Linked DNA regions of Stegostoma tigrinum. The protein of the gene in region 3 interacts with the protein of the main gene of each other region in a biochemical or structural test. Links are inferred from orthologs where the notes say so. Each region holds a gene or a part of one and is shown on either strand. Other genes may lie near its edges.

The links.
Region 1: the proteins of pin1 (region 3) and pkma form a complex in vitro, tested with the Homo sapiens proteins (2 studies listed by BioGRID, with this or other methods). The link is inferred for Stegostoma tigrinum from reciprocal best matches to the Homo sapiens genes PIN1 and PKM.
Region 2: the proteins of pin1 (region 3) and M-phase inducer phosphatase 1-B-like interact in a test that uses a peptide from one of them, tested with the Homo sapiens proteins (2 studies listed by BioGRID, with this or other methods). The link is inferred for Stegostoma tigrinum from reciprocal best matches to the Homo sapiens genes PIN1 and CDC25C.
Region 4: the proteins of pin1 (region 3) and wee1 form a complex in vitro, tested with the Homo sapiens proteins (2 studies listed by BioGRID, with this or other methods). The link is inferred for Stegostoma tigrinum from reciprocal best matches to the Homo sapiens genes PIN1 and WEE1.

The regions. Positions count from the first base shown.
Region 1 is NC_081389.1:14,446,855-14,453,870, forward strand, and holds the start of pkma (pyruvate kinase PKM), read right to left. Parts: upstream 3,021-7,016; 5' UTR 3,006-3,020; coding exon 2,977-3,005; intron 1-2,976. UniProt on the Homo sapiens protein: Catalyzes the final rate-limiting step of glycolysis by mediating the transfer of a phosphoryl group from phosphoenolpyruvate (PEP) to ADP, generating ATP.
Region 2 is NC_081366.1:76,176,984-76,184,869, reverse strand, and holds the start of M-phase inducer phosphatase 1-B-like, read right to left. Parts: upstream 3,017-7,886; 5' UTR 2,242-3,016; intron 1-2,241. UniProt on the Homo sapiens protein: Functions as a dosage-dependent inducer in mitotic control. Tyrosine protein phosphatase required for progression of the cell cycle. When phosphorylated, highly effective in activating G2 cells into prophase.
Region 3 is NC_081388.1:20,180,518-20,188,367, forward strand, and holds the start of pin1 (peptidyl-prolyl cis-trans isomerase NIMA-interacting 1), read right to left. Parts: upstream 3,015-7,850; 5' UTR 3,000-3,014; coding exon 2,651-2,999; intron 1-2,650. UniProt on the Homo sapiens protein: Peptidyl-prolyl cis/trans isomerase (PPIase) that binds to and isomerizes specific phosphorylated Ser/Thr-Pro (pSer/Thr-Pro) motifs.
Region 4 is NC_081370.1:27,234,961-27,242,967, forward strand, and holds the start of wee1 (wee1-like protein kinase), read right to left. Parts: upstream 3,009-8,007; 5' UTR 2,746-3,008; coding exon 2,278-2,745; intron 1-2,277. UniProt on the Homo sapiens protein: Acts as a negative regulator of entry into mitosis (G2 to M transition) by protecting the nucleus from cytoplasmically activated cyclin B1-complexed CDK1 before the onset of mitosis by mediating phosphorylation of CDK1 on 'Tyr-15'.

The DNA.
Region 1 (7,016 bases), on a different chromosome or scaffold from region 3:
AGCTGTTGATTTCAACTGACTGCCAATTACAAACTAAATTAGATTTGAATGAAACAAGTATTAGCCATAGAGTCTCAGAGATATACAGCATGGAAACAGACCCTTCAGTCCAACTCATCCATGCCGACAAGATATCCTAAATTAATCTAATCCCATTTGCCAGCATTTGGCCCATATCTCTTTAAACCCTTCTTATTCTTATACCCACCCAGACGCCTTTTAAATGTTGGAATTGTGCCAACTTCAACCACTTCCGCAGGTAGTTCATTCCATACAAGCACCAATCTCTGCATGAAAAGATTACCCTTTAGGTCCCTTTTAAATCTTTCCCGTCTCACCTTAAACCTACGTCTTCTAAGTTTGGACTCCCCTACTCTAGGCAAAAGACCTTGACTATTCACCCTAACCATGCTCCTCCTGTTTATGTAAATTTTCTAAAGGTCACCCCCTCAGCTTCCAATGGTCCAGAGAAAACAGCCCCAGTTTATTCAGCGTCTCCCTATTGTTCAAACCCTCCAACCCTGGCAACACCCTTGTAAATCTTTTCTGCACACTTTCAAGTTTCACAACATCCTTCTTGTAGCAGGGAGGCCGGAAAAGAACACAATATTCCAAAAGTGGCCCAACAAATGCCCTGTACAGCCGCAATATGATGATATTTTCTTTTCCAAAAATTGTGCACACACTCAGTCCTAGTGACCAGAATTATTTTTTTTCCTTATTTTGATGGAATCTGTGCAATATTGGCAATGCCAGTGTTGGTTGCCCACAAGTAATTGCCTTTTGAGGGCTGTTAAGATTACTGTGTGTTTTGGAGTCATACATGAACCAGACCAGGTTAGGATGGCAGGCTTCGTTCTAGTTAGGTATTTGTGACAACTTATGGCAGTTTAATGGTCACTATCACTGAGACTATCTTTCATTTCAGTTTCTTTTCAAACAAATAAGATTACATTGGGTTACTGGTCCAGTGACATTACCACCGCCTCTCTCTGATGTGCATTTCACCAATTTCAGAAGGTAGAGAGAAACATTTTAATGAGACAAGACCACAACTGAATTGATATGATAACAAGGTGTGGAGCTGGATGAACACAGCAGGCCAGGCAGCATCTTGGCCTGCTGTGTTCATCCAGCTCCACACTTTGTTATCTTGGATTCTCCAGCATCTGCAGTTCCCATTATCTCTGAATTGATATGATGCTTTGTTTCAAAGGCAAGAAGTGAATGTTCAGAGTGTCATTCAAAATCAAACCTCACCTTGATTCTACTAAATACAGAAGTTTCTTCAAGAAAAACAAAATACATCATCTCTATTATCAAGCTCACTTAGTCCTTCTTGCTCAATGTTGCTGCTTCTGACCTCAGGCTGGGTAAATTTGCCTCCATAAAGCAATGTTTCCGACTAAGAATGAGCAGTTGAGCTTGATGGGTTTGAAGGATAGGAAGAGGGTGTATATGTTGGGGTTGTTTTCTCTGGACCATTGGAAGCTGAGGGGTGACCTTGTGGAAGTTTACATAATCATGAGGAGCATGGATAGGGCAATTAGTCAAGGTCTTTTTCCTAGTGTAGGGGAGTCCAAAACTAGAGGGCATAGGTTTAAGGTGAGAGGGGAAAGATTTAAAAGGGACCTAAGGAGCAACATTTTCACACAGTTTTACTCAACATTTTCTCAAGCTGCAATAAAACATTCTGCCACTGTATTCAAGGGTAAGGGTGCCCCACACAATTTCCTCCCTTCAATCAATGTCATTAACAATCTCCACCATCTGGTCATTACAATATAGTTGTTTGTGGGGTCTTGCTGTGCCCAGGGTTGGAGGGTTTGACCTATATGGATAAGCTGAATAAGAAGGGGCTATTTTCCCTGGAGCGTCTCAGGCTGAGAGGGTGACCTTATCGAGGCTTATACAGTCATGAGAGGCATAGGTAGAGTGAATAATCAAGGTCTTTTCCCCAGGGTAGGGAGGTCCAAAACTAGACGGCATTGGTTTAACGTGAGAGGCGAAAGATTTAAAAGGGACATAAGGGGCAAACTTTTCATGTTGAGAGTGGTACGTGAATGGAATAAGCTGCCAAAGGAGGTGGTGAAGACTGGTACAATTAGAACACTTAAACAACATCTGGATGGTGCATGAATAGAAGGCGTTAGAAGGATACGGGCACAATGCTGGCAAATGGGAGTAGATTAATTTAGGATATCTGGTTGGCACGGATGAGTTTGACCGAAGGGTCTGTTTCCATGCCGTACCTCTCTATGACTCCACATTGATTGCCATAGTTCCTATGTTGCAACAGAGGTTGCACTTCAGAAGCGCTTCATTGGTTTTAAAGCATATCAGGATAGTCTCGGTTATGGACAACTCCATACAAATGCAAGTCCATCTTTTCTACTCTTTGCTTTTAGCTCTTGCCTTTTGTCTGTCCAAGAATTACTGGGTTGCTAAAACCTACTGCACAAATCACAACACTTCTGGTCAGCTGTTAGCTCTTGTTCGTTCAATCATTTCACTGTTTGTGTTTTCTCTGACACATAACCTAAGGACTCAAAACTGTCATGAACACTAGAGGCACGTGGGAAAAATATGTATTTATAAAATCCACCTGACCCTTGTAAGAGGATAATGGTTTAACGATTAACCGAACACCATTATCCAGATGAAATAAATCTGTGCTTGTAATAATTTCCTAAATTTGAAGAACGATCAGTAGATACATATTGAAAATGTCTTTTTAAAATATATTGTCTAATATAAAAGTATAACATGACATTTCATAAGAATGAGCCATAAGATCTGAGAAGCAAATATTTGCCAATTAGAATTTATGTTGAAACAAACCTTTAAAGGGAATAAAAAATACTTTTTATATATTACAACAAAAGCTCAGCTTTTGAATTGTCACACATTAACATGGTACAGATATTTTGAAAAGGATATACATAGTCACGTTTACTGCTTTAGGCTTGTACTTACACTTTGGTATTACTTGCAGCATTGCCCATCACAGATGACCAGTTAGAGTAACTCTGCAATTTTTAAAGCTTTTGAAATATTAGTCACTTTTATACAGGAGAAAACCTCAAGATTCGGGCTGCTCTAACACCCATTAGAGATACATGAGGGCGGGGGAAACATTTGATTGGCATGCCTGTACAGCCAATAATTGTCAAAATCTTCAAGACTCTTGACTGACATTTTAAGCCACCAATAGATGGGCACAACCATTACAACCCTGCCCAATAAATAGGGTCAGAACTAGGAATTGCTAGAAAAAACTCAGTAGGTTTGTCAGTGTTTGTGAAGGGGAAATCTGAGTTAATGGTTCAGGTTAGTGATCCTTCCTCAGAATGCAACAAACAGGGTGCCTTGTCAGGTACATAGGCAATATTGGGGTTTTATACCAATTAGAATTGTATAGATACAAAAACAGAGTTTGCTAAAGAAACTCAGGAGGACTGGCAGCATTTATGGAGAGAAAGAACTGTTAATGTTTCAAATCCAATGACCCTTCAGAATGTTCTGGAATTGTGCAAAATAGACCTTAAGTAATAAAAACAGAAATTGCTGGAAAAGCTCAGTGGGTTGGTAGCATCTGTGGAGGAAAAATCAGAGTTAATGTTTCAGGTTGTGTGATCATTCCTCAGAACCTAAGTAATGACTGCAGGTTTGAATCAGCCCTGGTTAGTTGGGGGGGAAAAAAGTAATGTTACAATGATGTCAGGCCCTGTTTGCTGCTTCTGCTGGTGACTCATGCTGCAGGTTATGTTTAAAATTTGTTGATGGGATTATGTACGTGGGTGTTTGTTGCCTTTGAAATGAGGGAGCCATTTCAGAGGATGGTTCATAATAAATCACATTTCCATAGGTTTGGAGTAACTTGCACAAGGTGGTGGTAGTAGTAGCAGATTTCTTTCCTGAAAGAATCAGGTGGGCTTTGTTTTTTAATAACATTTGATGGTTGTTACAGTTGTTGCCATTATTTGACAATCATTCAATTGTAGGTATTAATAGTTAAATTTAGTTAAATAATTAATTTTGCAAGCTGCTGTGGTGGAAATTGAGCCTGTGACTTTAGAACATTAACCTCAATCTTTGGATTGATACTTCACTGATTATTACCACTACATCAGGCAATCACCTGAAGGTTGAAAGGGCTATGGGGACAGTGCAGGGAAGTGGAGTTGAAATGCCCATCAGCCATGATTTAAATGGTGGAGTGGGCTTGATGGGCCGAATGGCCTTACTTCCACTCCTATGTCTTTATGGTCTTATGAAATTGGTAGTGCTTACTATGTTTTCATTTCCCTGCTCTCTGTCAAACTCCATCTACCTTCAGGAGCCTCTGTTGTGTTTTTGATTTCTGATTATATTTTCTGTTCTTTATATTTTTCTTTTGAATACTAATCTGACTGGATTGGCCATTTGACCACCAGTCTTCAGCAAATTGATTTTGATAAATCAGCTTTGGTTTAATCACACTCTTAATATTTTAAACTATCAGAGAACTCAGGAATGACATTTGTTTAATGTGGTACAGGGGTGTAAACTTTCTAGCTGTCTGATCAAACTGTGATGAGGCTTTCAGAGCAAAATCTGCAACACTAGAAGAGAGAGTTTATTGGCAACTTGAGCTAAAAGTAGTCAAAACAAGTCAAAAGAAAAACTTGATCAACTTTCATGATTTTAGGATGCCCCAAAGGAACATACAGGCTAGGGTGAATTTTTGAAGAGCTGTTCCAGTAGAAGAGATGTGACAGCCAATTTGTACATAGGAAGCTCCACATGTAGCAGTTAAGGGCCTGGGTCAGGATTGAAACTGATAAAATCATAGAATCCTGACAGTGCATAAGCAGGCCATTTAACCCATCAGGTCTGCACTGACCCTCCCACCCATCTCACCACCCCCCCACCCCTTCCCTGTCTCTATAAACCCTATTTCGTATGGCTGAACCACCTAACCTGCACACCCCCAGACACTATGGGCAAATTAGCGTGGCCAATCCACCTAACCTGCACATCTTTGAATGGGTAGAATCTTTCAGTTTAACTTTAAATTAATGGAGTGTGATCATTATAAATCTAACAAGAACTTGGGATGGGCCTGTTTAATTTAATAGTTAAAAAATGGCAATTTCAAAAGTGCAGTGATCTCTTAGTGTGATTGTAAATGATTTACTCATGTTCCTAGACTGGGGCAAAACCCTAAAAAGTGAGAGAACTCGATGTGAAGCTGGATGAACACAACAGGCCAAGCAACATCAGAGAAGCAGGAAAGTTTGACATTTCTTCTGAAGGGTCTCAACCCGAAACGTCAAACTTTCCTGCTCCTCTGCTGCTTGGCTTGCTGCGTTCATCCAGCTTCACATCGTGTTATCTCAGATTCTCCAGCATCAGCAGTTCCTACTATCCTTAAAAATTAGGAATTGCTGAAGTGAGAGATAGTATTAAAAGTTTTTCATCTTACATTCATCAGGATAAAAGGACAATATTCAAGCCTTACAACTTATTTCGAATGTCCCTGTTGCTTGGGGAACCTCGAGTTACCCTACTGTTTTCCCCATGGTAACATTTTTGGCTAATGTCAATGTGCTGATTAATTAATTAACACCCCTGTCTCATCAGGTGTAAATTGTCATGATTATTCAAATTTTGGCATTCTTGCATTTGTTCTGATGGGTAAAACATGGAAAATAATGGTAACCTGTTTCTCTTTACAGCAAGATTTAAGGTTGATGCACCAAGAAACTCTGTGACCTGAAAGTCTTCTGACTCAAAGATTAAACATTACCAATGAGCTAGCCTGACACTTAGCTCACACACAGATGCGTGCACTAAATGTGGAGACAGGCATTCTCAGGGTCAAGTGACTCTCTCTCCAAATTCAACAATGAGAAAGAAAAAATAATAGCTCCAATCAGCAAGTTGAGAGCTGACCAGCGAGCTGCTTGTGAATTACTAACCTTCATACTGAAATCTCACCTCCACCAGAAAGAGCCAGACAATCAGAACCTGATGGCTTCTTGGCACTAGACAGCATCTCTCAAGGGCTATGCTTTAGGGGTTTAAATGGCAAGAAGTTATGTGCTTTGATTTCAGATCTGAGTATACCCACCATCCTGTGTTACCATCCTGTGTTTCCACCCTCCCCACCAAGACTGAGGCAAATAGAGTCTCTCTCCCCAGCCCAGAAGGAGGCCGGAGACGAAACCTGACATTCTTCTCATCTGCTGGAGAGGCAGATAATCAATCTAGTGGTGACACTTAACTGATCACATAAAAGCCTTCATTGTTTTTTGAGAAGGTTTGGGCGGCACGGTGGCTCAGTGGTTAGCACTGCTGCCTCACAGCGCCAGGGACCTGGGCTCAATTCCAGCCTTAGGTGACTATCTGTGTGGGGTTTGCACATTCTCCCCGTGTCTGTGTAGGTTTCCTCAAGGTGCTCGGGTTTCCTCCCACAGTCCAAAGATGTGCAGGGTAGGTGGATTGGCCATGCTAAATTGCCCATCGTGTTCAGGGAGGTGTAGATTAGGTGGGTTATAGGGGGTTGGGTCGAGGTGGGATGCTCTGAGGGTTGGTGTGGACTTGTTGCCACACTAGGGATTCTATGTTCTATATTGTAGCTCGGGCCACGGATGAGGTTGTAGGCTTGCTCGCCGAGCTGGTGTGTTTGATTGCTGATGTTTCAATATGCTGCTGGGTAACATCATCCGTGCACCTCTGGTGAAGCGTTGGTGTTCTGTCTTGGTTATTATTTGTATGCTTCAGTTTGCTGGGTTCGTCGGTGTTACTTCCGGTCAAGTTTTTCAGTGATTTGTACATCGGATCCAGTTCAATGTGTTTGTTGATGGGGTTGCATTTGGAATGCCAGGCCTTCAGGAATTCCCTGGCGTGTCTCTGTTTGACTTGTGATGTTATGGATGTATTGTCCTAGTCAGATGTATGTCTTTCTTTGACTATGTGTATTGAGGCCGTTAAGTCTTGTTTTGTGAGCAGTACAGGTAGATCATAGCATA
Region 2 (7,886 bases), on a different chromosome or scaffold from region 3:
GAGGCGAAGGAATTGGGAAATAGGGGATGGAGTTTTTGCAGGAAGGTGGGTGGGAGGAGGCATATTCTAGGTAGTTGGGGGAGTTGGTGGGCTTGAAATGGACATCGGTTTCTAGGTGGTTGCCCGAGATGGAGACAGAGGTCCAGGAAGGTGACGGATGTGTTGGAGATGGCCCAGGTGAACTTGAAGCTGGGGTGGAACGTGTTGGTGAAGTGGATGAACTGTTCGAGCTCCTCTTGGGAGCACGAGGTGGCGCTGATACAGTCATCAATGTAACAGAGGAAGAGGTGGGGTTAGGGCCAGCGTGGCTGTGGGAGAGGGACTGTTCCACGTAACCTACAAAGAGGCAGGAGGGTCTAGGCTCAAAACATCATCTTTCCTGCTCCCCGATGCCTCTTGGCCTGCTGTGTTCATCCAGCTGTACACATTGTTACCTCAGACTTTAAATTTGATAAGTTTTTGGTATCTAATCGCCTGGTTCAAATTGATTAGCTAAAGGCAAACGCCCATTGTCTTGGTAAAACTACTGCTGGGCCTGCTCACTGTATGGGCTTTTGATGCAAACATTTCACTTCGGGTGCTTTCTGTGCACTTGCAAACTTCCAGGGTTCTGCTCACAGGCATCCATTTTACATCTCTAAGCACAGAAAAAGCACATGATCTTTTAAAGGGACCACGCAATGCCTCCCCCCACCCTCGAATTTTACAAACACCAAATTCCTGCCTCCCAATTCACACGTACTCTATCCAATTTTGCAACATTGATGATCCTTTGTGGACTTACCTATGGGCTGAGATTGACATAACCCCATAAACCCCATTTTCCAGAGGTGAAATAAAAGTGGGATTGACTGGACTACTTCACAGTATTTCCTCAACAGGCCAAACAGCCTCGTCTTGTGTCATACTGAATCAGACTCGAACACTGAGAGCCCACCATTAAATCAGAGCTGCAACTCTCCGCTGGTGTCTAGTTCAATGTTGCAAACTCTGCTCTGCCTTCCCCTCCCACCCTCCGCAAAGCCAGTTTGTTTCCCTAATCCTGTAACTACATGGAGAGCAGCCAATTATTGTTTTGGAGTCGATTCACTGCTGGTTGCAATTAAGTGGGAGCCTAAGATGGCTAGTTGTTTAGAATTCTTATAAATCTGAAGTAAATGCAACATAAAAATCCCCAACATCCTAAAACAAAAGTTGACATCCAGTTGTGCAATAAAAGCATGCACACCCCTCGTACATGGACGACAACAAATACAGCTTGCCCCTGACTAACTCACTTTATCCCAGGTGAGGTTTGAACCACAAGCTTGAGCTCTTTAGGCAATGTGCTTAACTCAAAGGAATCTCCTAGGGTTTGGGGCCAGTTTGTACCAACCAGCCCACTTCTAAAACCATGCAATATGGCGGTACACAGGCACAGGTGATTCAGCCATAGAGCTGTACAGTCTGGAAACAGACCCTGCCGTGCAACGCGCCCACACCAACAGAAAGTAATCCCCTCCCATTTGCCAGCATTTGGCCCATATGCCTCTATACCCTTCCTATTCATGTACCCCTCCAGAAGCTTTTCAAATGCTAGAACTGTACCTGCCTCCACCACTTTCCTCTGGCAGAACTACACTCTGCAGGTCCCTGTTAAATCTTTCCCCAAAACAGTCTAGTTTTGGGCTCTGCCACCCTGGGGAAGAGACCTCGGCTATTCACTATCTCTGGCCCTCATGATTTTATAAACCATGATGAGGTCACCCCTCAGCCTCCAACATTCCAAGGAAAATAGCCCCAGTCTATTCAGCCTCTCCCTATAGCTCAAACCCTCCGACCCTGGCAACATCCTTGTAAATCTTTTCCGAACCCTTTCACGTTTCACAACATCCTTCCAGTAGCAGGGAGACCAGATTGAATGTAATATTCCAAAAGTGGTCTAACCAATGTTCTGTCCAGCTGCAACATGACCTCCTAACCCCTTTACTCAATGCACTGACTATAAAGGCAAGCGTACGAGATGGCTTCTTCGCTATTCTGTCAACCCGCAACTCTACTTTCAAGGAACTACGAAGCTGCACTCTCATGTTGATAGATTACAGTTTAAGTGGTGTGAACTCCTGACAATGGGAGTACTGTAATTTAAAGTTACACCAGCAGATAAGGGAACACAAAACATTAAATATTGGGCAAATCTTATTTTACAGCACATTAAAACCAAAGCTACATAAACATTGGATTCTCAGTGTGATCACTTACCCCTTCAGGATGTTTGAAATGGAGTTCTGAAGTTTCAACACTCTACAGAGGTCCAGGGATTTCTTGTTGGCTCTGACTAGTCACAAAAATGGTGTTGTTTCACCAAAGCTAGGATTGACCAAAGTCAACCCAAGGTGGTAAATCCTACAATATGCACTGGGTAATTTCATTTACAAATAGCAGTATTTGTATCCAGCAGCTGAAGATTTTGGTAAGCCTGTTGTTTCTGCCTGTCCACAACCAAAAAAAAAAATGGATTTTTGTTTCTTTCCACCTTTAAGAAGGGTTAAGAGAAAAGCTTCATTTATGTTTTCTGACAATTCAGAGCAGAGGGTTTCTAACTCTCCCCCCCCACCTTTCCAACTGTCAGCTCCAGAACACAAGGCCTATCATTTCCTTCTCCTCTACTCACCATCTGAAGTCAAGTAAACAAGGTCCTTTCTCTTTCCCAGTAGCAGTTAACAGTGTCTGTCTGTCTGTCTCTGTATACGATCCTGTTGTCTCCCTCACACTCTGTACAAACAGTCTGGCCTGGTCTCTATCTCACTCATGCACTCCCAGCATACAGGGTCTAGGCAATCTAGCTCTCTCCCACTCCTAGTGGAGTTTTTCTTCATGTTTTTCTTCCCAGCATACAGGGTCTAGTCTTTCCCTCCCTTTCTCTTCTTGTATACAGGATCTTAGTCTCTCTCTGTCCCTCATACATACACATAGGTCTCATCTGTCTTCCTTTCTCATTCTGACAGTATTGAATATCCAGTCATCTCCCTCCAGGAATACATAATCTCAATTCTCCCCCCCTCCCTCTCTCTCTCCCCCTCCCCCCAAATACAGTATCAAGTTGCTTTCTCTTTGTTCCTAATGCCACCCTACAGAGACAAGTCTCTCTCACTATCTCTCTCTCTCACTACACAGGACCCAGTCTCTCAGCTTCACCCCAATTACAACAGTACAGATTCCAATCTGCGTGTCTCTTCTCTTACTCTTTTTTCCAGCTTTATGAAATTCAAACCCTCTGTTTTTTTCTCATTCTCTCCTTACGAAACAAGGTCCCAGCGTGCAGGATCTGGTCTCACTCCCTGCCTAACTTCCAGTCACACACGTGTCATCACCCTCTCTCCCGGGCTCAGTTAAACTCTCTGTCTCACCACCAATTCCGAGTCTTCATCTCTCTACTGTCACCCCCAGCAGAGAAAAAAAGAAACTTTGATCTGTCTTTCTTTCGCTCTGTCAATCTCCCCACAGAAGGGATTTGCTCTCCCTCTCTCTAACTACTAACACAGAGACCTTTTCCCTGCCATTCTCCGCTAACTGGAATATAAAAACTCTCTGAGCATTCCCTTCAATCACATTCAGCAGAGCGAGCATGCCTTTCCCTAACTCGCCATCAGTGCCTGCTAGCCCTCCCTGTGCTCCTCTAGCTCCGCCACTTCCGCCTCCAAAGGGATTTTAAATCTGCCGCGCTGACACTGTTACATTATCAGCCAATGGCGTCTCTGTTTCCGGGAGCAGCCAATCACAGACCGCAGCCTGGGTTTGAAGGCTGGGGGAGGGAAGGCTGTTGGCCCGCCTCCCGCTCTGGCCCATTGGTCGTTTCAGGTCGGGCTGTCTGATTGGACCAGTTGACTGTCAATCAAGCCCACGGCCCTTGAAAGCTGCGCTGGGTCCAAGCGTCTGCCTTTGAAATTGCGATGGGACTCGGTTTGTGTTTCCTCCTGTTACACCCTCTCAATAAATCCAGTCCTTTAGAATATGTTGCAGAGCACCAGTGTTATAGGTCTGAAAGCAAGCATGCCAATGGTGTGTTTGAAGGAGCAGTTCAAAAGAGGACATTTGACCCAACCAAACAGTCCCCTACAGTGTGGAAACAGGCCATTCAGCCCAACAACTCCAAAGAGCATCCCACCCGTACCCAGCCCCTACACAATCCCTGCAGCCCTGCATTTCCCACAGCTAATCCACCTAACCTGCAAATCCCTGGATGCTATGGGCAATTTAGCATGGCCAATCCTACACATCTTTGGACTGTGGGAGGAAACCCACACCGATGTGGGGAGAATGTGCAAATTTCACACAATTGCCTGAGGCTAGAATCAAACCCAGGTCCATGGTACTGTGAGGTAGCAGTGCTAACCACTGAACTGCTATGCCATCCCATTGTGTCTGTACCAATTCCCATTAACAGCTACACAACTGATATGAGCCCTGACTTTTCCCTTTCGCAAAATGTTTTCTTTTCAGATTAGATTCCCTTCTGAATCAGCTTTTCCACATGCCTGTACATCTCAGATCCACGAGCCCTGCAAAGAAGCGTTTTCTCCTTGTTACATTTGGGTTCTCTTGCCACAGACTTTATATCAGCAGTTTCTGTTTCCTGAACCTTTGACCAATAAAATCAGTTCCTCCCAACCTGTCCAGATTTTTGAACATCCCCATCAATTCATCCCCCCCAACAACAACAGATCTGACCCCTCTGATCTACCCATGGAAGTTGGTGGAATTTAAAGTGAAATTTGTAAGACTCGGAATGAGTATTAGTAATAATATTAGTAACGGCTTAGTAATGGCAGTTCAAAACAATAATTGATTGTATTTTTCAAAACCCAGGCCATTCAATAATATCCTTTACAGAAGAAAATCTGCTTATGTGCTGTCATCTACATGAGACTTCAGGTACAGTGCAGTGCAGTTGACTGTGAGGTGGCCTCTGAAATGACCCAGAAAGCCGCTTAGTTCAAGACCCATTAAAGATGGGCAACAAATGCTGGGTCTGCCAGCAACCCCCACAAGAATTTTTTAAAATATCCGCGCAGCTGAAATTAGACATCCCCCAAACCATTCCAATGTATCTTTTCTGCATCCTCTCATAGAGTCACGGAGCAAGGAAGCAGATCCTTCGGTCCAGAGTGTCCATGCTGAAGAAGTTACTCTCCTCTCTCCGGACCAACCTAAGGGGATATCCATCTTCAGTCCGCCTCCCCCTCTCTCCCTATTTATTTCAGAATCCTCTCCCCATCCCCCTTTTCTGATGAAGGGTCTAGGCCCGAAACGTCAGCTTTTGTGCTCCTGAGATGCTGCTTGGCCTGCTGTGTTCATCCAGCTCCACACTTTGTTATCTCATAATCCCAAACTAAACTAGTCCCATTTCTAATTTCTTCATGTCCTTCTTAAAGTGTGACTTTTGACTAAGTGCTTTGGGTCTACCACAATGAATGAACTATTCCAAACAAAAACATTACAGTTAATACAGGCAGAATATTTGTTCTTATGCAAAGTTCTGTTAACACTAGATTCATTGAAGTTTCAGAGCAGGCTGCTGTAGCGTCCATTTGGTGCCATAAACATTTGCCAAAGTCTGCATGGACAGTGCATGCTGTCAGTTTGCTGTTTAAAAATTTCCAAAATATATTCTGAACGCCAAAAGTCCTTTTTCTAAAAAATATAAGCGGACAACAGTTTGCGGGTAAAACACCTTCAATGCAAAGAAACATCACAAGATTCGCTCTAATTGTAACAAAATAGGATCCCTGAACAAGAATTCGGGAGATTTGGTAGGGTGAGGGAATCTTGGTGGCGAATTTGAAAGGTTTTTAAATGTAGAGAGGGAGATAGTTCAGTAAATTTATTTCTTATATACCGCTCTATACTGAGAAGAAGTGCGATGTTGAACTTTTCACATTTCTTTATTTTTCTACTTTTTACCAAAGATTTTGGACCTAAGATGGCACTGCGAATGGCAACATTGTAAACTTTTCACTGTACTTCTGCATCCTTCCGCTTGAGTACATGTGACAATGAAACCTAATTCCGAACGCTCTGTTACATACCTTGGGACAAGAATGGGGCTGTTGGAGATTATAGAGATTGGTGGAAAAATACAATGAAGGAACTTATGGATGAGTTCCAGGATGTTTAATGTGAAGATCAGTGTAACTCCAAGCAGAATTTAACACAGGAAAGAGCACATGTGAAGACATGGACCATTTGAAGTCTCTGGAAGCTGGCACAACGCCATGTAAAGAAAATGCTGGAAATATTCAGTAAGTCCAGCGGCACACTGGGGTCATAGTTATAGAGTCACACAACACAGAAACAGACACTTCGATCCAACCAGTCCATGCCAAACATAATCCCAAACTAAACTAGTCCCGCCTACCTGGTCCTGGCCCATATCCCTCTAAACATTTCCAATTTGTATGCTTATCCAAATGTCCTTTAAATGCTGTAACTGTACCCCCATCCACCACTTCCTCAGGAAGACCATTCCACACGTGAACCATCCTCTGTGTAAAAAAGAGTTTCCCATCACATATTTTCATTTGGTTGATGACTTTTCATCTCTGAATCATCCCCAGAATTGAATCTAACGGTACATTTGTGTTTGCATGGGGTGGAGACCTGCTCAAGAAATTGCGCCTTTGGAATTAGAGTGTCGTGGATGTTGTTTATTGTTCTGAAAGGGTTAGTGCTCTACAATGCCTCAAGGTGACAAACAGAGGTTGTGAACGCAGCCCAGTCCATCACACAAACTGACCTTCCATCCATTGACTCTATCTATACTTACCACTGCCTCGGGAAAGCAACTGGCAGCATCAAAGGCCCCTCCCCCACCCCAGTTATAACCTCTTCCCCCTTCTTCCAGCGGGCAGAAGATACAAAAGTTTGGGAACACGTACCAACAGATTCAAGAACAGCTTCTTCCCTGCTGTTATCAGATTCATGAACAGACCTCTCAATTATTTATATAATTTCTTTTTTATCCCTTTAGTAATGCTGTTAGAAAGACTATACATTAACCCGTATGGTGTGTGTCAGCAATCATCAGCTACCTCATCTGAAGAAGATTCAACGTCAGACTTCTGTAATTTCAATCTAATGTTGATCTGGCTTTGTGCACCCCCTGTGCAGTTGTAACCTGTCTGCCTTGCTCTGTCTAAGCATCCCATGATCTGTACGTTCTTATTTGCTATGATCTGCCTGTGCTGCTCGCAAACCACAACTTTTCACTGTACTTAGGCATATGCAACAACAATAAATCAAATCAAATCAAATCAGTCAGGAGACAATGAGGAGAAATAAACAGGGCTTTTTCCAAGTGACAGGCAGCAACCTGTGGGACACCTCAAAGGATCAATGTTTGGAACCAGCTATTCGCAAAATAAATAAATAACCCGCATGAAGAAGCCAAAAGCAACATTTCCAATAACTCAAAGCTGGGTGGGATTGTGAGCTGTGAGGAGGAAGCAAGGAGGCTTAAAGATGATTTAGATAAGTGGAGCAAGTGGACAAACACATGGCAGATACAGTACATGTGTAAACGTGAAGCATTACATTTTGGAGTGTAAAATGCAATGGAGGCATATGATTTAAAAGTTGATATATTGGGAAGTGTGGATGTACAAAGGGATCAGTTTGTCCCTGTACACCAGTCAATGAAAGTAGACAGGCTGCTGAAGCGAGCAATCAGTGAGCCAAATGGCAAACTGGCCTTGATTGAGGGGGAATCACATCCCTACTTGATTTTCAACTTTCATGTCCGTTGCGAAGATGGGTAGAGTACCTGTGAATTGGGAGACAGGAAGTTAGAATTTGGCATTCTTGAAATGCAAGGGGGGAAAGAATTACGTGGTCCCTTTAAAAGATCA
Region 3 (7,850 bases):
TGCCATGAACTTAGTATCCATGACAAAAGGCATATCATTTGCAAGGGCCAGTCTTGACACTACCGTTCTTCCACATAGCATTAATGAAATCAACAACTATGCATGTGGGAGGTTAACAACACTTCATATTGTGCCAGTGCAATCTCACCCAAATATTTCCATCAATCATGATCCATTCAACCTTCATCAACTCATTCGGGAAGGTTTAGCTCAAAATAAGCAATCGCCCAAGCGGTCTGTGCAAGTAGAACAGAATTCTGGGAAACACGGAGGTCAGGCAGCAAATGAGAACAGAAATTACAACTGAAGATAATAAAACGTGAGGCTGGATGAACACAGCAGGCCAAGCAGCATCTCAGGAGCACAAAAGCTGACGTTTCGGGCCTAGACCCTTCATCAAAGAGGGGGATGGGGTGAGGGTTCTGGAATAAATAGGGAGAGAGGGGGAGGCGGACCGAAGATGGAGAGAAAAGATAGGTGGAGAGAGTATAGGTGAGGAGGTAGGGAGGGGGTAGGTCAGTCCAGGGAAGACAGACAGGTCAAGGAGGTGGGATGAGGTTAGTAGGTAGATGGGGGTACGGCTTGGGGTGGGAGGAAGGGATGGGTGAGAGGAAGAACAGGTTAGGGAGGCAGAGACAGGTTGGACTGGTTTTGGGATGCAGTGGGTGGAGAGGAAGATCTGGGCTGGTTTAGGGATGCGGTGGGGGAAGGGGAGATTTTGAAACTGGTGAAGTCCACATTGATATCATTAGGCTGCAGGGTTCCCAGGTGGAATATGAGTTGCTGTTCCTGCAACCTTCGGGTGGCATCATTGTGGCATTGCAGGAGGCCCATGATGGACATGTCATCTAAAGAATGGGAGGGGGAGTGGAAATGGTTTGCGACTGGAAGGTGCAGTTGTCTGTTGCGAACTGAGCGGAGGTGTTCTGCAAAGCGGTCCCCATGCCTCCGCTTGGTTTCCCCAATGTAGAGGAAGCCACACCGGGTACAGTGGATGCAGTATACCACATTGGCAGATGTGCAGGTGAACCTTTGCTTAATGTGGAATGTCATCTTGGGGACTGGGACAGGGGTGAGGGAGGAGGTGTGGGGGCAAGTGTAGCATTTCCTGCGGTTGCAGGGGAAGGTGCTGGGTGTGGTGGGGTTGGAGGGCAGTGTGGAACGAACAAGGGAGTCATGGAGAGAGTGGTCTCTCCAGAAAGCAGACAGGGGTGGGGATGGAAAAATGTCTTGGATGGTGGGGTCGGATTGTAGATGGCGGAAGTGTCGGAGGATGATGCGTTGTATCCGGAGGTTGGTGGGGTGGTGTGTGAGAACGAGGGGGATCCTCTTTGGGCGGTTGTGGCAGGGGCGGGGTGTGAGGGATGTGTTGCAGGAAATACGGGAGACGCGGTCAAGGGCGTTCTCGATCACTGTGGGGGGACAGTTGCGGTCCTTGAAGAACTTGGACATCTGGGATGTGCGGGAGTGGAATGCCTCATTGTGGGAGCAGCTGCGGCGGAAGCGGAGGAGTTGGGAACAGGGGATGGAATTTTTGCAGGAGGGTGGGTGGGAGGAAGTGTATTCTAGGTAGCTGTGGGAGTCGGTGGGCTTGAAATGGACATAAGTTACAAGCTGGTTGCCTGAGATAACTTACAACTGAAGATAATCACTAAAGATAGACTTCTGTTCCTGACAAAAGAATAAGATGTCTGAGCCCAAATTTTCTTTACCTATTCTGATATTAACCTGTGCATTTCTACTTTGCCTTTAGATGTATGACACACAAAAACATTTTCTTTCCCAATAGTTTACAAGAGGGTTCATGCTATGCCAAAATTACTAGCACCTGTGTATGGCAGGAATAAACACTTTTGCCTGTCATGTCCTTAATCTAAGAATATTGGTACATTTTAGGACAGAAACTAGACAGTCTATTATGTCTGTAGTGTTGAATCAATTCCAAGGCAAAAAATCTCCTCTGAAATATTAAAACAAAGGAAAAGCATACAGCACTCAAATCAACAGGGCAATGCAAATCTCACCATTGATGAATCCAATGCATCACCTAGAATCATATGCAGCAAGCTCCATGCCTCATTAGTATCAACATACTGGGGATCTTGCAAATACCAAGAATTTTACTGAGGGCAGCGGGGATGAAGAGATTAGAAGATCAATCATCCCCAAAGGTTTTCACACACCTTCCAAGTGCCTACTTGCAGAGTAACACTGATATATTCTTAAGGGTGGCTCACTCAACCAGCTTGGGAAGGGGTTTGTGACATACCATTCAACTGACATTTCCCCAAAAATTTGCTATAGTCATAAAACCTCAAAAATGTTCCAAATCAAGCTGAGCACAAATTGGGCCAGGTGAATGTCATTGATTATGAGGTCCTTGACTAGGGCTGCTAACCTGAGGCAATCAGGGAGCCCTGGCTGACAGATATAAATGGGAGATTCAGAAGGTCTCCTCAGTCACGGAACTGACTCAGAGCCCTTGTACTGCACACATGTAAATAAAGGGTGACTTGGTCACAAGACACCAGCCTCTGTAATTATTTCAAACACATTTATGCTCTCCTCTTTTGCACCCATCAAGACATCTTAACAGTACAAACAGAGGCTTTTGTGCTCTTGCTGAGGTGTGCATTGGTTATCAGCTTACCATTTAATGTCTCTAGTGCCTCCTCCTTGCTGCGTGTGATCTCCTCCTGTCTCCACGAAGAAGGCCTGCGTGACTGGTTGTGCTTCACTAACAGGTGGGAACAACGAACTTTGTCAGGCTCAACAGAATTGTAATTCCCCCCAGCTTTTGGTCGCTCCCACTGACTCCGATTAGTTATATGATTGAAGAAGTAAATGCGACCTGCAAAAGAAATATCAAATGGCATCAGAGATGCAAGCAAACCAATCAAGACACACCTTGCAAAACCTGATTTGAATAGTTTCTCCTTCCTCGCTCCACTCCAGAGCCCTTGTCCCGATTTCTTCAGAAGTCTCAGATGCAGTTCCATGGGCACTGGATATCAACATGGGTTTCTACAACATCCTTCACTACAAAACACACATTACAACAACTTAAATACTACATTTTGAAAGAAATGTGAAAGGCCTTAAAAAAAGTCATTAGGACTGGATTTTTTTGTTATAAAAAGAGATGCAGCCAGGTGGATGAATATCGGCCAACGAGCCCCTCTTTGATGTTAGAATTGACTGTCACGAGGGGAATTAGAACTTCATTCAATCGTTTCACTAATTTCCAACAGTGCAGCACTCTCAAATTTCAGTGTCAGACCAGACATTGCAGCTACATCCTTACAGAGCCTGACCTTGACAAGACAGTTTTACCACTGTGCCCTGGCTAAAGCCACAGAATGCACACCCCCAAAAGCACATTGAAAGAAAATGTTCATCAGTACTGGGCACCATAGCTTAACTTACTTTATTCCATCATTTGCCATATGCATACAAGCAACTGCAGTATGGCTAACTGGACAGACAGCATTTGTGGCATCAAACCTTCTTTGCATCCATCATCTCAAAAAGCACAAAATTACACAAAAATCATTAGGAATTTATAGCAGAGATTTATCTATCACAACTTGTCGCAACACTGAGATCCACATGTCCAAAAAAAAACACAAAAACACATGACAACTACAGAAACTCTAACCTTAAATGCATAATATTTGTTGTTGGTCAACAGACTTATTTGGTGCCTGCTTGAGGTGCTTTTTCCCCTTTGTTGGTCTTGGAGGTCATTCACAGAAAAGTGTGCTCCCATCATGTGTAAAGACTGCAGCCTCTGTACAAATCAACTGTGAACTTAATCCGGGCAGTCAATACATACGTGAACAAACTACCACAGAGAGAACAACATTCAAACTTGACATACAGCTTCCTTGACATGTGTAAGATTTTTTTTGGTACTATGGTCCTCTTATTCACAGAATCTTATTCTTCTGACTAAATTTGTTTTGCTGCATTCTTCATATTTAACAATTTGAAAGATTAGACAATTTCATTTTTAGGACATAAATTCAGCATTCAGTACATCATTAGAAATGCTATGTAGGCCTCTGGTAAGGCAAAGGGGGCACAAATGTTTTCTTTTGGAAGATAACACTATTCTGACATCTTTGCCTTCCTACATTCACCTGACTGCAAGTGACACAAATACATTACACTATGTTCTGAATCTAATTAAATCAAGTGTTAAGTGTTCAGCAAGGATATGTTGCTGAAGTTGTTTACATGGAAGGGTTTTGGGTAATCTAGATTGCTTCCTGCAGTAAAGTGTGTGTTGTGATGAACTGTGAAGGCTGGACTGAAAACAGCATGTGTCTAGTTTGGAGCCCTGTCTTCAGGCTGCCATTTTATGGTACCAGCTACAGGTTGAATCTAAAAGAGACACCATCATGAACTTGGCTTTCTGAAGAAAACGGTTTTAGAATATATGCTTTATGAAACTATATACATGTTGCTTTGCTCTGATTTATACCACTTTTCGTTACTGAGCAATCTGTGGTCTGGGTCTAGGCCCGAAACGTCAGCTTTTGTGCTCCTGAGATGCTGCTTGGCCTGCTGTGTCCATCCAGCTTCACACTTTGTTATCTTAGTTACAAACATGGTGCTTTTAGGGAGGATGTGCCAGGATTTCAGACTTTAAAATAAATGAGTATTAAATAAACATCAATAATACAACTTGCCATCATGTGGTGCTTCCAACAGCTCTGGACCAATCATGAATTTTTAAAAAATTTTCACTGCATAGTCCAAACATGGTCATGTGTATTTTTGCACTTTTCAAGCTACTTTTCTCATAAATGAATGAAATAGGAGCAGGACTCATGCTCTGCCATTCAGTGTGATCATGGTTGATCTTCTTGTTAAGAGATCTTTTGTGCAATAACACCATCTCTCTTTATATATTTAATAACAGATCCCTCTTGGATTCTCTCAATAACTAAGTCACCAAACCCTTTGGGACAGAGAATTCCAAGGATCACCCACTCCCTATGAATCAGTCTGGATTGCATTTTAACCTTTTGAACCACGTACTCCTTCCCAGCAACTTTTCAATTCCATGAAAGTGCTGGAGACAAATCACATTTAGCAGACTGCTATTTTTGTAATTCCTTTTGTACTCATTGATGGGGTCAGCATCTCAAGATGAACCAGAATTTTGCTGCTCATCTCTAAAGATGCCCTCAAGATGGTGGTGCTGGCTTGTTACTGCAGTCCATGTGTACAGGTGCAACCACAGTACTGTCAGCAAGGAAGTGCCAGGATTTCAGTTTAAGCTAGATTTCCGTGTTTTCTCCTCTCTGTTAAGTGAAAACTAGATTACACAAAGTTTCCACTTGTTAAACACGAAAACAACAAACTGGCACTATTGGACATTTTTGGACAACAGCCACAAAGTAAGAATTGAGAAAACACAAAGGAACTGAAGTTCACATAACAGAAATCAATATTCAGACAAACACTATGAAATTATTCCACTATACCCATTACTAAGCAATCTAAGAGCCCATGACAGTCTTAGAGAACAGATTATCAATGTACCTACATGTTTTTACCCAAGGCCATGGAAAAATGATACATATAAAATGTTAAAACCAATTATAAAGTCCTCAGCCAGGCTTACGTTAAAAAAAGTCTATCACCAGTCTATTATCAGCAATAAAATGAAGCATATATTTCAAGCAAGTTATCTTTTATCATGACAAAATTAAAATTTTTGATATATTCAACATAGTAAAGCTACTGGAGCTTGGCTCAAGCTTCCAGGTTGCAATTTCAGCTGCATTAATAGATAATTCCCTGTGTTCATATAATCCAACATGGCTTTACTGGGGATCATTTTAATATTTGTGGAGAATGAGTACTTTCATGCAGAGCCTAGATTCATAGCTAATAAAACTCTGCTACTGAAACACAAGCCCACTGAACAGAAAAAGAGCACCTTGCAATGTAAATAATTACAACCTCCATTATTTTAATTCCCACAATTTGTCATTTTAAAAATAAGTTACATTCTGGGCAGAGCAAAAAATAAATCTGAATAGCAACAGTGGCGTACTGGTTTAATCTGGACTTTGAAAACTGGAGACATGTCTAAATTGTTACCAAGAGGACAGAGACCAGTGAAGTTATAAACTGCTTACAATGGTACATCAGTCGCAAAACATGGCTTTATGATATGAAGTCAAATTAATTTTCCAATGAGCTTTTAAAACGTCTCAGCAAATAGTTGAAAAGGTTAAAAGAACTGAAGTTGAAATACACAAGATAAATGAGTGAATAGCCATGCAATATTAGTCATAATATTAAGCCAATGAATTCAAAATATAAAAAAAAACTTGTCTATACATTTGCTTATAGATGACTGTCCTAAAATCATTAAAGCGAGATTAAGATTGCAACTGAAATAGGCTGCTATTTTAATAAAAACAGAAAATTCTGGAACGTATTTGGGTCAGACAGGACCCTGCAGAGGAAGAGATAAGGAAATGTTTCAGGTTGGAGATAGCAATAACTGCCAATGCTGGAGTCAGAGTCGATACAGTGTTTCAGGTCAGTAGCTTTGAAAGAGAGATAATTATTGAAGAGTTCAATCATTCTTCCTTTGTGATTTCCAGTACAAGAGAATTATTTCAAGGACCGTAAGATACCATTCAGCAAAATCACCAACACATTATTTTACTCTAAGATGAAGGTCACAGGGCAGTTTGACCAACCAAGAGTAAAATCTGGCACACTGGTTCTTGCAGTCATGAAACATGGGAAACATTCAATAGTTACTTTAGTTTGAATATTTTTTTTAAATTGTAGGAACTTGGCAGCATCCGTCCTCAGCAGGATATCTGAAAGGTAACAACTTTAGAAAAGGAGCAACCAATTAGTGATGTAGAAAGTTATCAGCCATGCAGGTAGTCCACTGTGCTCACTGTTTGCCAGTCTCCTCTTGTGCAGTACAATAGATTTGTCTATCCTGTACATTACCATTTCTTGCACATGGTCCTGATGAGTGCAAGTCAAAGGGCTTCGACAAAATGTGCCTTTTATCAACAATACTCAAGTTCTGTACCATCAAACCACACAATTCTAGGTCAGGTTACAAATATGTGCATTTTCTGCAGTCTCCAAGAACTGGTCAACTAAATAGGAAATTTTAAAAAAAAAAGTGGAGTTTCACTTCCACGAAATTCTCAGACAGAATACAGGATTTTTCTTATTTGGAGAGAGTGGGGGGTGGGGGTAGGATGGTAGCTTGGAAAAGGAGATCTGGCCATACTCAACTCCATAATGATGATGAAACTCCAACTGAGACAAATAAAAATCAGAGTAAAGTGGCAGAGAATGTTTTCTCAAATTTCATGGTCAGACAAATCCAGTATGCACAAAGAAGGGAGCAATTTCAATTTGTGTTGGGGGTCATGGAGTGGAAGAGATGGTTCGGGGGGGGGGGGGTTGATAGGCAACAAACACCTATTTCAGCATTTCCCTTCAGCTGACAAACACCACCTTATCTCACATAAGACTTCGAACAGTACATTACATATGACAACTTTTGAGAGGGTGGGTTGGAGACCAATTGCTTCAGCTGCTTCCTGGTTGTCACAGTAACAGCAAAATTTAAAAGCATAAATGGAAAACTACAGCCAGAGAAATCTGAAAGGGAAGATGGCAAGCAATCACAAGACAGATCTAGAGCAGAGAGCGCGAGGCAGACCCTTAAGTGGTTTAAAAAGGAATAGCATTTCCAAGACTTGCAGAATCACTGACCAGGTGTAACTAACTAAAGCGATCACCAAAAGTATGAAAAAAATGGCAATATTTCTTAACATTACAGTCTTAAT
Region 4 (8,007 bases), on a different chromosome or scaffold from region 3:
AATCATGGATAGTTCACCTATCTAGCCATCTTTAAAGAAATGCATTGATCTTGAGAGACAGAAACAAATATCAGATGTGATACTTCAGGATTAGTGGAAATACAACTCTACATAACAATAAATCACCACATAGAAAATGTATTTTTAAAAGTTCAACTTTGGTAGTAACAACATGACAGCAGGGAAACAATCCAAAAAACCCAACAGGTCCCACAGCCAAAATGCGTAATAAAAACTGAAAGAACAGTGGATGCCGCAAACCAGGATCAAAAACAAAGTTGCTGGAAAATCTCAGATAACAAGGTGTAGAGCTGGGTGAACACAGCAGGCCAAGCAGCATCAGAAGAGCAGGAAGGCTGATGTTGTTTCGGGCCTAGAGCCTCCTTCAGAAATCTTACTACCTACTGCTGGAAAAACTCAGCAGATGTGGTAGCACCTGTGGAGGAGGAAACAGAGTTAAAAGAACTGAGGAAGGGTCATCGGACTCCTCCACAGTTATTAACTTTCTTTTCCTTCACAGATGCTGCCAGACCTACTGAGCTTTTCCAGCAACTTTGTTTCTATGTCAAAATTCATATATGTCACTTTTAAAGTCATTCTGCAAATTAATTCTAATACTAGCACAAAACCACTGGAACAAAATTGTCCCAAAACAAAAAGCTTTTCCAATATTTAAAAGAACCTCAGATGTTGATTTTCCGAAATGTCAGCCTTCCTGCTCCTCTGAAGCTGCTTGGCCTGTGTTCATCCAGCTCTATGCCTTGTTATCGGAGCTTTTTCCAGCAACTTTTTATTCCTGGTTTGCGGCATCTACAGTTCTTTCGGTTTTTATTGATTTTCTGTTTTCAGTTCTTAAATATTTGCAGCTACTATAAGAGACTAGAAACACTCCTTAACATTTAATGCCGCCATACGAGATAACCATTGCTGACATCCAGATTCACTTATTCCTACTATGAAATACCTATACTGCACGTTAGGTTGATCTTGGTCCGATAGGAGTGATGAACAGATTATATGAAAGCCATACCTCAGTTAATTTGGTCAGAAATCTCAGCACCAGGTAATAGCCCAACTGGCTTATTTGAAAACACAAGCTTTCAGAGCCTCAGTCCTTCTTCTGGTGTTAATGAGAGGTAGTATCAGATACAGGATTTATAAGTAAAAGATCAAAGGGTCACAACATTGAGGTACTAAACAACCTTAAGATGCTGTTAAATCTTTAATCTCCACATCTTCATCCCGACACACACATCTATTTGCAGATACATTCTATTTTGCTCAAGAAAATACAACTTATTGACAGTCATATTGACTTTTCACACATTCCTACTTCAGAAATAAAACCAGCTTAACTCCAAACTAAAACACAGATTCTAAACAAGGTCTCACCAACCAACACGCACTATCTGACCTAAAATGTCACTTTTTCGGTACTGAAAAAACCTTAGGTTCTCTGAGAATCATGACTTGTTTTAGGTATTCACATATAAATATTGATCAATCAACTGATTCAAGATTTAACAGCATCTTAGGTGTGTTTAGTAGATCCTCAATGGTGTGAATCTTTGATCTTATAAATACTGCGTTTGATACTACCTCTCTCACTATTACCTGAAGGAGAAGTGAAGCTCCAAAAGCTTATGCTTTGAAATAAACCTGTTGGACTCTAACCTGGTTTTGGGTGGTTTCTGACCTTGTCCACCCCAGTCCAACACTGGCACTTCTACATCAATGAACCTGGATCTCAAAATCCTAGTGCTCTTTAACTATAAATAATCATTACTTAGATCAAGAGATTAATTAGAAAAAGTGAATTACAATTTTAAATATACCAAGTTCCCGTTGCTCACGAAAAAGAGCCTGGCTACCGTGCTGATCATTACAGTTACCACCGGTTGCAGCTGAGAAACGTGCAGTCAGAAAAGATGCCCAAACCTGATGTTGTACCACTCAGGGCCCAGAACAATATCAATCTCATTGCTAAAGTCAAAACAGTTACTACTGTATTCGAGAAAATCAAGTGAAAAAACACACATTTGGACATAAATATTAGAAAGGGCGGAGATCCGTTAAGCGCTTGGTAGCTAATTCTAAAACTGTTCAAAGGGTCTGAGGGATAGACCCCACCTCCCTCTCACCGGGTTAAACAATTCAAACCCTAGAATGTCCTACTTTACTAGCACCTAGATCGCACCCTGGTTAAAAGTATAACATTGAAAGGTTTTTTTAAAACCCTGGCAGTTAATGGTGGTGTGACATGTGCGGCATCCTTACCTTGGGGGTGTGGGGCGTGTCGAAGAGCCGCAGTTTTCTGAGTGTTTTATGTGGCGGTGTATCGGGACAGTCCGGGATCGGGGAGCTGCACTCCTCCTGGTCCCCTCCCTCTCGGATTGGAGAACTGCACTCTTCCCGGTCGCCGCTTTCCCGGATCGGAGAACTGGAAGATTCCTCCAAGTCCCGACGGTCACGGTAATCCCGTCGGCTTTTGAGCGGAGACGGGCTGCCCACGAAACCATCCTCCCAGCTCAGGTTCCCCAGCTCCAGCTCCTCTGCGCACTGGCCGAGCTCAGAGATCCCACCGTACTTGCGGTCGGGGTCCGGCGACTCCTGGAAGGCCGAGTCCTCGGTGCTGTTTCCACCATCCTCCTCGTCGCTCCCTGCAAAACTGAGTTTTTGTACAGGGAATCCCGAGGCCGTAGTGGGGCTGGTACCAGCTCTCATGCACACTCGGCGGAAACTCATTGCCAGAAGACTCAAAGTCACTATCCGGCCCGGTCCTGACGGAGACCCCGCTGCCCGCTCGGCCTGTCCGGGTCGTGACGGAGACCCCGCTACTTGCTCAGCCTGGCCCGGTCCTGACGGAAACCCCGCTGTCAGCCCGGCCTGGTACGGTCCTGATGAAAACCTGGCTGTCCGCTCGGCCTGTCCCGGTCCGGTCCTGATAGAAACCGAGCTATCCGCCCCTCGCGCCGTCCACAACACGATAGGTTTCCCGCGACCGTTAGTCACGTGACGAATTCCACCAACCACGAGCGCTCTCCTGTTTTCAAAAACACGGTCACATGATCCGCAGACCTGCGGCTGCGCGCGCAGTCTAGCCGCTCGCGTCATTTTCGCGCCAAACTTTCCCCTGACCTTATTCAACCTCTCTCTCTTTTGTTGTATTGAACATATTTCATGCAGGTCTTTATTAACAGCATTCTTAAACATGTATGTAAAGCTTTTCCTCCATTAGCAATAAATGCAGTTTTCAATCAAATGAAACTAGTTTTTTTCAAGATTTACAAGTTAATTTTAGAGCAACTTCATTGAATAATTGCATTAAATCTGATTAAATGTTTTAAATCTAATCAACACTTCACTGACAAGACTTACTGCTTGTTGTTTCAACGTTAATCACATATTGGTTTCCCTGTGCATTTGTATTCTCATCTCTGTTTTGACCCTTTCTGCAAACTTGGCAGAAGCAGATTAAAAAAATCGTCTTTATTTCCAAACAATGACTCACTGACGGTGAATTGTGTTTATGACTGGATAATCTCTCACCAAACATTAAATCAGAACAAATGTTAACATTGTGCAACTGAAACCCTGGGGCATAAACTTTTAGAGATATATTAACTTAGATCTTTCAGTTTTCTTCTGAACGTTCGGCGAAGCAACACAGAAGCCGATCTGTGACTATAGAGATAATGGGAACTGCAGATGCTGGAGGATCCAAGACAACAAAGTGTGGGCTGGATGAACACAGCAGGCCAAGCAGCATCTTTGACACGAAACATAGTGTCAATAAATTACCTCTTAACATTCTACCCCATCTGCTCTCTAATGAAGAGGTCTTTAGACATCAATCCTTCAGTATTGTACTGGAATCTACCAAGAAATTAATCTCCAAAACATTGCTCCAGGCAGCCCAAAGTTAAACTAAAAAGAAATTGTGTTTTTATCCCTTTTTTGAGCATGTCATTTCTTAGCAGTGAAAAATATTAGACATGAGGGACAAGGCTCTATTACTGAATCAATCATTAAATCAGTTGGGTAACAAAAAAAATTCCCTTTTCAATATATGGTAAGGGCTGTGTGTATGTAGCATAAATAAACAAAGTTCAGTGTGAAGGAGATAGCAAGAACTGCAGACATTGGAGTCAGAACACGGTATGGAACTGGAGCAACACAGCAGGTCTTCTGAAGAAGGGTCCTGACCCGAAAGTCAACTTTCCTGCTCCTCTGATGCTGCCTGGCTTGCTGTGTTCCTCCAGCTCCACACTGTGTTGTCCAAGGTTCAAAGTGAAGTCAGGAAAGGGGGTCAAGTGATAAATCGATAAATACAACCAGAGTTGACAGCATTATTATTATCTGCATCACTCACTCCATACAGAAGCCAATCCAATACTTCAATTACTTCCTGTTTAAAGATATTGCCCCTTTCTCTGCTCCGTTAAAGGCAACTTCATATTTATTCCCTGTTACTCTGGACCATGAATGGAAACAGTTTAGCTATCCATCTGATAGAAACTCTTCATTATTTTGCTGACATCTAGGAGATCTTTTCCCCATCTGATCACGTCAAGACAAAATAACCCACACTGCTCTCAAGTTGTGGTTATTTTAATTAACATTGCATAATTGAATCACAATTTAGTTCATTTTTGACAATATCATAATTCTGGTAACCCTGTTTCATACTAATCGTCAGCAAAATCATCTAAAAGCACATCAGCTTCCAAATGGAATCTGAAATACCTCATCACCACCTCTTGACTGCTTTCAGACTTTTCATGCTGTTCATCCAACATCTAGACTGGAGCAGTAGTGATTTCCTTCAAATAAATATTGAAAGGTTTGAGCTATAGTTTATGAGTACTGGCCAAAAACTGTTCTCTAACCACCAAATCCATCCCGTTCACTGCCACCTCTTGAGGTTAGGCTAGCATTTGTCTTTTGAATTGCTGAGCCTACTCTGCCACTCAATAAAGACCATAACCAATTTGGTTGTGGTCTCAACTCCACTTTCGTGACTGCCCTCCAGAACAGTGACTCCTTGTCTATCAAAATCTATCTAACACAATTTTGAATACATTTAATGACACTACTTTCTGGGGAAAGAGATCCACATAATAGCAACACACTCTGAGAAAAAACAAACTCATCTCCATCTTAAAATAGAGGCTTATTTTTAAATGATGTCCCATATTTGTATTTACCCAAGAGGAAACATCCATTATTTACAATATCAAGACTGACCCCCTCAGAATCTTACATGTTTCAACTGGATCACTTCTGATTCTACGAAATGTCAATGGGTGTAAGCTCAACATGTTCAACCTTTCTTCATAAGATGTACCCTTCATCTCAGGAATGAGTTGAATGGATCTTTGCTGAACTGTTTTAAATGCAGTTATGATTTTTCTCGGATCAAAAAACTAAAACTGAACGTAAATCCCCAGATGTGGTCTCACCAAGGATCAGTACAGCTCCAGTAACACTAACTTATTTTTGTATTCCATTCCCTCTCAAGTAAATGAAAACATTCAGTTTGACTTCCTAATCATTTACCACACCTACAAGATACATTACCAAGACACCCAGATTCCTCTGTACAACTGGAATTTTGCAATCTTCCTTCATTTAAATAATATGCTGCTTTTCTATTCTTCCTGTCAAAGTGAATACATTTACATATTCCTGTATTATACTTCATTGATCAAATTTGTACTTACTCACTTATCTATATCCCTCTGCAGGTTCCATATGTCCTTGTGACAACTTACTTGCCTGATATCATCAGCAAATTCAGTTAGCATGCATTGGGTCCCTTCTTCCAAGTTATTGATATGGATTATAAATAGTTGAGAACTAACTATTGTTCCCTGTGGCACTTTATTTGTAATAGCTTGCCAATTCAATAATGATCCCATTTATCCATACTAATGCTTCCTGTTAGCGAACTAAGCCTTTATCCATGCTAATATGTTACTCATTATACTTTGTGCTCTTTGTGTGTAATCTTTGATGTAGCACCGAATCAAATACCTTTGAAACTCAAAGTAAATGCCACCTACTAGTGTCCTTTTATTGACCTTGCTAATTACTTCCACAAAGAATGCTCATAAGTTGTTCTGCAGTAGTACAGAACTTGAGTATTGTGAAAAAAAAATTAAGCTTTTAATCTTGCATTCATCAGGGCAATTCACAAGAATCCCAATTTAAGGGAACAACCAGCATTTAGAAGAATGACGTAGATATAGAAACCCCATCATATTCCAAAAGGATGATACAGAATATACACAGGAAGGATGTTCCTGATGACTAGGGAGTCCAGAACCAGGGATAGTAGGAACTGCCGATGCTGGAGTCTGAGATAACAAGTGGAGCTGGAAGAACACAGCAGGCCAGGCAGCATCAGAGGAGCAGGAAAGCTGACGTTTCGCATCTGTACCCTTATTCAGAAATGGGGGAGCAGAAGGTGGCTCTGAAATAAATAGAGAGAGGTGGGGTGGTCATAGAAGGTGGATAGTGGAGCAAATAGGTGGGAGAGAAGACGGACAGGTCACAGAGGCAGGGAGGAAACTAGTAAAGGTGAGTATAGGTAGGAAATCAGGGTAGGGGTCGGTCATTGAGGCAGGAGGAGCAGATAGGTTGTGAGAGAAGACAGACAGGTCAAGGAGACAGGGATGGGGGTTGTTGCTGGTCTTGGGTTGAGGTTGGGGGTGGGAAAAGTTTGAAGCTAGTAAGGTCCACATTGAGACCATTGTGTTGTAGGGTTCCAGGTGGAATGTGAAGTGCTGTTCCAGGTCACTCTTAAGAATACAGCGTAGGCCAGTTAGTCCTGAGATGAGGAGAAATTTCTTCACACTGAATAGTGAGCCTTTGGAAATCTCTGCTACAGAAAGTGGTTGAGGGCAATCATTAACTGTTTTCAAGATGGAGTCAAATATCATTCTCAGGGCTTAAAAGGATGAAATGGTATGAGGAGAAAATGGGAACAGGTATTGAGTTTAACGACCAGGCATGACCTTACTGAATGGCAGAGCAGTCTCAAAAGGTGAAATGGCCTACTCTTTCTCCTATTTTCTATGTTTCCTTTCTGCCATACTTTGATGATTATTACCCCATTGTTTCCCCTTGATTAATTTCACTTCCACTCACATGGTCTCTTTTCCCTCTACTGTTTAGTTCAAAGCTCTCCACTGTACCCGGTGTGGCTTCTTCTACAGTGGGGAAACCAAGCGGAGGCTTGGGGACCGCTTTGCAGAACACCTCCGCTCGGTTCGCAATAAACAAGTGCATCTCCCAGTCGCAAACCATTTCCACTCCCCCTCCCATTCTTTAGATGACATGTCCATCATGGGCCTCCTGCAGTGCCACAATGATGCCACCCGAAGGTTGCAGGAACAGCAGCTCATATTCCGCTTGGGAACCCTGCAGCCCAATGGTATCAATGTGGACTTCACCAGCTTCAAAATCTCCCCTTCCCCCACCGCATCCCAAAACCAGCCCAGTTCGTCCCCTCCCCCCACTGCACCACACAACCAGCCCAGCTCTTCCCCTCCACCCACTGCATCCCAAAAGCAGTCCAACCTGTCTCTGCCTCCCTAACCTGTTCTTCCTCTCACCCATCCCTTCCTCCCACCCCAAGCCGCACCTCCATCTCCTACCTACTAACCTCATCCCACCTCCTTGACCTGTCCCCTCCCTATCTCCCCACCTATACTCTCCTCTCCACCTATCTTCTTTTCTCACCATCTTCAGTCCGCCTCCCCCTCTCTCCCTATTTATTCCAGAACCCTCACCCCATCCCCCTCTCTGATGAAGGGTCTAGGCCCGAAACATCAGCTTTTGTGCTCCTGAGATGCTGCTGGGCCTGCTGTGTTCATCCAGCCTCACATTTTATTATCTTGGATTCTCCAGCATCTGCAGTTCCCATTATCATAGATCATGATCATGTAAGTGCCATTGCAGAAATAGATCTGCATGGTGACCAGGACTGGGAACTGAATTTTC